Linked DNA regions of Lepisosteus oculatus. The protein of the gene in region 2 purifies or fractionates together with the protein of the main gene of each other region. This does not show direct contact. Links are inferred from orthologs where the notes say so. Each region holds a gene or a part of one and is shown on either strand. Other genes may lie near its edges.

Evidence for each region.
Region 1: the proteins of arid1b (region 2) and smarcd2 purify together in Homo sapiens (affinity purification with mass spectrometry; 5 studies listed by BioGRID and IntAct, with this or other methods). This does not show direct contact. The link is inferred for Lepisosteus oculatus from reciprocal best matches to the Homo sapiens genes ARID1B and SMARCD2.

What each region holds. Positions count from the first base shown.
Region 1 is NC_090723.1:2,688,590-2,692,341, forward strand, and holds the start of smarcd2 (SWI/SNF-related matrix-associated actin-dependent regulator of chromatin subfamily D member 2), read right to left. Parts: upstream 2,736-3,752; 5' UTR 2,371-2,735; coding exon 2,218-2,370; intron 2,136-2,217; exon of another isoform or gene 1,468-2,135; coding exon of another isoform or gene 1,402-1,467; intron 1,368-1,401; exon of another isoform or gene 1,167-1,367; intron 1-1,166. UniProt on the Homo sapiens protein: Involved in transcriptional activation and repression of select genes by chromatin remodeling (alteration of DNA-nucleosome topology).
Region 2 is NC_090697.1:11,358,066-11,361,817, reverse strand, and holds the start of arid1b (AT-rich interactive domain-containing protein 1B), read right to left. Parts: upstream 2,571-3,752; 5' UTR 2,104-2,570; coding exon 727-2,103; intron 1-726. UniProt on the Homo sapiens protein: Involved in transcriptional activation and repression of select genes by chromatin remodeling (alteration of DNA-nucleosome topology).

The DNA of each region.
Region 1 (3,752 bases), on a different chromosome or scaffold from region 2:
AATAATTTCTCAAATTGTATTAAAATGATCAGATCTCAGTTTGTGTGGATCAATTTTGAAGTTACAGTACATTCATGCTTGTTTTCAACAGTATCAAGTACTAAATTACAAAAATAAAATATTTGGTATTTACCAAAAAAATATGTGTTATTGCACACAAAACAAATTCCGCATAAATGAATAATATCCTTTCACCTGCAGTTAAACTCCCCTTAGCTGCCTTGTTTGACTCTATTAAATTAATCATACTTGATCAAATACTTCTTACACTTTTTCCATGATCAATGATAAGAGCAGTATTACACTTCTGAAATCTGATTTAGCAAACTAGTCTAGCTCTGCTTTGCAAGGTGTGTGGGATTTAAATATTAACTTCTTACAGAATACCAACTTTATATTTGGCCTGTTTTAATTACCTTTAATTGCCACACTGCTAAGAGTACAATAAAAGATTTGTACATGAGTTAATAGGTAATGAACGGGGTAATTTGAAAATGTTCGTTGAGAAAGTTCTGAACAGGTAGATATGGGACAGATTCATTTTTCATTAATTTCTTCTTTGAGCGCTTTTCTTGCTTTAAGAAACCTCAAGTGCTCTGACACATTTGTCCACGTGTCAGCGCACTTCAATGCATGAACTATTTTAAATAATTAAAATGGCAGTTTCCTGTTTTTAATTTGGTAAAAATACTTTCCTAATGCTCTTCTGGGAGGGATTACAATAACTGTGCTATATATCGCCACGGAAAGATATTTTGTATCACATATAAATGCGAAAATACAGTACAACGCTTTGCAATGTCTTCAGCTTCATTCAAGATTGTTTTTTTTTCTCGTCTTCTAGCGATTCGATCGTGCAAGAGATGCCGAGATATGATATTAGCGATCGAGACAGGATTTCCTGCAAAAAGACGCATCTGCGTCTGACATTTCTTATTAGAGCCCAGCACGTTTATCGGATGCTGAGTAGCTGGGCAGAAATGGAAACGTTTGTGTTCTGCTCCGTGCGAACACTGTACGACTTGAAGTTCTCCTTCCCAAAACAGCAGTTTCACTCAGGATTCGCCCTCCCCCAAATGAAAGCACGGAGGCAGATGCAATTACTGAACTGTAAGTTTTAGAAGTACTGAGAGCAGAACGCGGACTCACAGCAGGCACTGACATACCGTAGAAACCCAGCTAGTTTTGACAGATTACTATCCTGCACCGACTTTCCTCCCCCTTCCCCCTCGGCTTTCCCATTTCTGAACTGTCCTGTCTTCAGCGGATACCTTCCATGTAGCAACCGAAGAGGTATCAGTGCAAACGCGAATGTAACCAGAAAGAAACGAGAGAGGGGAGTTAAGAAGTGTCAAGTCACGAAGACAGCGCTCGCTCTCCCTCGCAACAGAAAATACAAACCACATGAGGACAGGCTATGTCATGTGGGACTGGTTTCGGTTCCTCTTTAAGCGTTAAAGTTAACATGTCCTAACGAATATCCCTTTCCGGGACAACTTAACGTACTCTTTTACTGCTATGCTCTGGTGTTTCGGTGCTCTCGGTGTTTTATTCGGTCACACACACACACGCACACGCAACATAACGGCATATTTGTCTTCTCTCACACACATTCAGGCAGCGATCCTTCATAAATGCGGAAGTGAGGACTTTATCAACCTAGCACTCTGGTTTTGTGTTTTTCGGGCCTTTGCAAAAAATGACAAAACGGAACAATTCTCACTTGATGCCTCCTTTAAAAAACGTTATTGATGTAGTCGTGTCGTTTCCATGCACTCCAGTTCTCTAGTGCCATGCTGATCATACAAACGTTTCTGTCTTTTTTTTTTTTGTCCAGTGAGGTCTAATGTAGAAACACGGATAAAGTTGTGCTTTAACCGCGTTTCAGCTCAATTCTGCAAAGTACATTGTATTAATTCACTTACACCAGCTCATTGTTGTTGTTGTTTTTCTAGTTTTCACGGGAACACCCGACTTGTTTAAATTGACTGATTATTAATAACACAAACCAACAAAACAAACAACAAAAAAAGTAACATACACAGGACACACCGCGTTAAAGCAACGTACTGTAAGCTCCCGCTACCATAGATCATACCGATTAACCTAATGACAGAGACCGGAAATCAATCGAATAATTTAAATTACAGTATAAACTTTTTTTACCCGATAAACTGGTCTACGCACTAGGCGCAGAGAAGAACAAACCGCAGTTACCTGATGGTACGGGGAAGCAGCTGAGCCCATGGCCCGGAATCCGCTGTTCTGTTGCATTGAAGGAACCATTCTGACACCCCCCGAATTCATAGGGTTAATATTAGGGTTCAGTGGGCTACCTGTATTCATTGGGTACACACCTCTTGAAGTCATGTTAAAGCAAATTTAGCTTTAGTTTTTTTTAAAAGAAAAAACAAAGATCGGCGATTACTACAACCCTTGAAAGCGGCAAACTTTTCTTAACAACATAAATACGAACAAAAACAAATTGGATGCAGTTAAACGTCTATCTTTTTTTTAACCCTACACTAGTTCCTGGGTATTTTTCATAAACTCACTCACTCCCCTCTTGAGCAACTCAACGTTGGTTGTATTGTCGGTGTCATCATTTCCCATGAATCTAAGGCTTTGTTCAAGCCCCCTATTTATTTTAAATGGTTGGCACACAAAAAGAATTTAAGAGCCTGACCAATGTCTAAAGATAGCGATCAGACAGGGTTTGGCTGCGTGTGTCTGTAATAACACGCAGCCTCCTCCTACTCCGTGGTTTGCAGTGCAGAAAGAATTCTATATGGCGCCCTCTGCTGTTTAGTTCCGGTTAGAGCTGCGTGTATACCGCCGGGGTAGTTTGCCCGGTTTGCGATTAGTGGAATGTTGTGGAAATCGTTTTTTATAACGATCAGTAGTACAAGTAGCTACAAAAACAAGATATGTAAGCCATCTTTTAAAATTTGCAATAGAGCATCCGTTTAGTCCATTTTGATCTTCTGGTTTGCTTGCTCAGCTGTTGTCTTCATAATTCATTGCGAAGACCTGAAACCGTAACTGTAAGAGCAAATAAAAGACCAAGTCAAAATTAATAGAATAAAACAGCTTTTTTGTTCTATCAAGGCTTTCTCACCTAATGATAGAGACAGTCGATGGATTCATGGCCCAATGCAGGATACAGTACCTACAGTCCACTACTCAGGCTGAATGCTCCTTACAGACAAGATTTCGTTGTGCTTGGGAGATTTCTTGTCTGCTTCCGTATTAGAAATAGAAAGCCAGGTAAAACCAGGGCCCACTGTGAAAACGACACACATTAAAAGATGTCACGGCACTTTTTCCAAAAGCTAGGATGTCATATTGTCTTGACCAAGGTGTGAGCCATGTAATCACCACGCAGAAGGTATTGCACTCCGAAATCAAATGAGGTGGTAGCGTTGACTATCATGCCACCCTTTTACAGTACATCAATGTACAATGATTCATTCATTCTGGGTTTTGATATGAAACATTAGGTTAACCGTGATGAATGGAGTGAGGTAACTGCAAACTGCCGTCACTCTGGAAGAAGGGACTTACCCAGCCTCTGACTCTAGGACAGTTCGCACATTGAAGCAGCACCCATCCACAGGACAAGTCCCTGTGTCAAAGTGCAGTCTCTTCTGGGGATTATTCTCCCTGCACCTTGCTTTCCCAAGATAGCCGTTGGGTTGCTGTGATACTATCCAGGAAGAAGTGACTTTCTGTTTCTATAAACATGCTATATC
Region 2 (3,752 bases):
CCACAGGACGGGCCTGAGATTCAAAGAGTGACGGCCGATCTCTTAAATATCATATAATTTCCCAGTCGCAGGCGAGTGAAATGTACTTAAAAATATTATACAAGAAGGACACATCCGATTTATGAATATTCATCACGCCACATTTATAATACTTTATAAGTTTAAGCGGCGGACGAGAATGTTCCTGGGGACGATTCGTAATCCTCCACGAGGATCAAACGAAAGAAGGACGGGGGAAAAAAGCTGTAAAATATATGTAAACAGTAATATAACGTAAGACACGGGTGCGTTTACGTTCAAATACCTGATTATTATGAAGATCTTTTGTGCATTTGCGATCACGTAAGTCACCTTGGACAGAACTTCCAGCCCCCGTCCTAACTTTAAAATCTAATAACAGTCGACATCACAGGAGAGAGGGGTGGACGCGAATAAATCCAGATATTTTAAAGAAAAAACACCGCCAACAACAACAGTAGCAGCAGCCAAGCCGGTACGAAATAAAGCAACAACAACACCCCCCCAAAAAAAAAAGAAAAAGGAGGGGAAGAGAGGAAAACAGCCATTTGATTTAGTTACACGGAGAAAAAAATGTGCGCTCAGCACGTTAAAAAAAAGTCAGACATGACGAACCCACTAGGTTTTGCAACTACAACCAGACGATAAACACAGACCTTCAGCATGAGCTTCCCGAGAGCACGCCGTACAAAACCGAGAAACATTTACCTGAGGTCTACTGATAACTTGTCCAGTGTTGCCAGGACTCATGACAGGGTGATTTCTCTGATGTCCTCCCCAGCCGTGGGCTGTGGACCCGTACTGGGAACTCGCGTCTTTGCCCAGCCCCACGCTCGCCTGCTGCTGTGGCGGCGCGGCGGGGCCACTGTACTCGGGGTAGCCGCCGCCGCTGAAGCCCCGCATCATGGGGCTGGGGGACGTCAGGAGCTGGTTGAGAGTCGGGGTGGCCCCGGACGGGTGCTGGCTCTGCCCGGGGAACCTCTGAAACCCCCCCACGCTGCCCCCAGGAGCCGAGGCAGCAGCCATAGCAATCTTGCCATGGCCAGCAGCGCTGCTGTGGCTGTTGCTGCCTGGGCCCATCAGCGTGTGACTCCCCTGCCTGGGAGAGCTCATGATCCCATAGCCTGCGCCGCCGTAGCCCGGTCGGTAGCTCGGGTAGTGGTTGTACTGGCTGTTGTGGTACCCTTCGTGGGAGTTTTGAACGGAATCCATGCTGTTGGGAGCCGAAGGATGCATTATCCCCATCCCAGGGCTTTGTTGTCCGCCATGTTGATCAAAGCAAGGGCCTCCTCTAGCGTTGCCATAATAATTATTAAACTCGGGAACAGTGCTAGTCGTCCCCCCAGCACTTTGGGGCTGGCTGCTGTTGTTGCTGTTGCTGCTGCTGTTGTTGTTGTTCGCTGGTCCCAAGTTGGCGTGCTCGTACCTGCTGCCCATCTGATCCCCCGATTTGCAGGCACGGCCCTCCTCTTCACTTTTATTCAGCAGCGGCTGCTGCTGCCCGACCTGGTTTCCCAAAATATGCTCTTTCCCTCCATGTTGCCGATTCTCCGCTTCCCCCGGTACCTGCGCCTGGTTGCCGCCGCCGCTGTTGCTGTTGTTGTTGATGTTGTTGTTTTGGATTTGGTGTGAATGGAGCTGCTGGAACTGACTGAATCGTGGTGGCTGGGGCTGTGTCGGTGTGTGATGGTGAGACGGAGGAGGGGGATCTCCGCCACCAACATTTTTCAGTTTGTGATTCGCTATCAAACCCGTCTCCATGCTCGAAGAAGTAGCCGAATTTGAAGAAGATAAAGATGCAGCACTATTGACGCCCTCCTTCTCTCGCAAGTCCGAAGTGTTATTTGCAGAAGAAGAAGTTGTATTGGCCATGCTCAGCTCGTTATGGTGGTGGTGGTGGTGGTGGTGATCTACATTATTCATAGTGTTAGTTCCATCTCCAACTCCCAGAATTGCTCCCGATCCCTGTACCGTTCCCCCTCCCGATTTCCCAGAGTTTAAATCCTGATTCAGACCGCCGGATAAATTGGGATTTTTACTACCAGTCGTCGCCGGAGATGTTGTCACTTGCGCGGCCATGATCATTTCAACATTTCAGGCAGTAATCCAAACAGGCTTAGACCGAAAAAAAAAGAGGGAGAAAAAAAAGAAAAAAAACACACAGAAGGAGGAAAAAAAGGAGAAAAAAACAAGAGAGAAGTGCTCAAATGAACGAATATCCCGCAAACCGTAAAGTTCTGGCTGTACTCGGAAACGATACTGTCTCACTGGCTCTGCCTGCTCCCGCGGTGTGATTTCATGTTGAAAGTTTTTGTCCAGGTTTTAAATGAAACTTTTCTTCCTTTCCTCTCTAACCCGGATATGGGTAAATGCATGTCTCCCTGTGTCTCTCTCGCCCAGCATGGCACAAGAGAGAGAGAGGGCTCTTGCAACTATTATCCTGCTCTTTCTTGCGATTCGCGTGGAAAACGCGGACTGGATTTCTAGCCTCACCCACCGGGCTGGCAAATCCCACGTTGACCAGCCAGCGGTGTACGCGCAAGCCTGGGACGTGTTTGACGCAGATTTACTCTTTACGGAGTAAAATCAAGGATGTTTTTTTTTCTCCAAAACGGCCGGGGGAAGTCGGTTCGATCATGTTGTGGGGTATTAACAACAAACGCCCCCCCCCCATACACGTTGCTGGTTAAATCATATATATAAATAAACTTTATTTTTATTTGGCACCTTTAAAAGCGGCTTCTCAAAGCGCCTCACTGTGCAACAACAAAACAAAATTAAAAAAAAACATGAAATATAAGCACGAGTGTGCAAAGGAGAAGAGGTAGTATATGGGGTTACAGTAGGAGCAAAGAGGTACATAACAGACCCGGTTTAAGTAAAAGTCCTTCTAAAAAAGGTTTTGAGTCTTGATTTGAAACTCTTTAAAATCTTCATTGAAAATTGTGATTTTGATATGTTTTGAAGTATTCCTCCTACAGAATGTTAGCCAGAGGCAGAGGGGTTTTTCATAGTTGCCTTTCTCAACCACAAAGAGCAACACGACGATGAACCGGCTTTTAAAGGTATATTTACACATTTCCAGTTTTCCTCTGAGTGTGTGTGTGTGCTGTTCATCTCCAGACCACACAAAAGACCCCTCAAAGACTGGTTTCTGTGCTTTTAACAGCCTCTCAGTCGAGTAGGAAGCAGAGTGTAAAATGAACAATATCTTTATTATTATTATTGCACTTTTTGAACTCCATTATCTCGAGAATATCAGGGTGTTGCAGAAGAGAGTACGTAAATAGGCCGCTATTCAAAAGGTTACCGTAGTAAAGTACATACACAACATCATCCCTATAGTTTTGTAGTGTTTGGCATACATGCAGTTTACAGTACTTTAATGACTTTTGGTACCAAGTTGCTACTAAGTGTGAAGTGTATGTCTCCTTGAAGCAGTTACATTAATATGCGTTTTAAAATAACGACCTACAAACTACAATTTAATTTTACACTTAAATGAAATGCTTTCGTCACAATAGCAAGCGTATTTGGTCAAATTCGGCATTCAAACTAAACCTTATGACACTGTAACCGCGACCGCCCGACTCCTGCTGTCCACGATCCCTCGGCTGGGGGATCCGTGCTCCGTGCTCGGAGCTCCAGTCCACGTATTCCCTGTCTCCTTTCCCCCAGGCTCAATTCATTTTTCTGCAGCTCTGAAGAGTCAGGCAGTATCACACGCAATCACA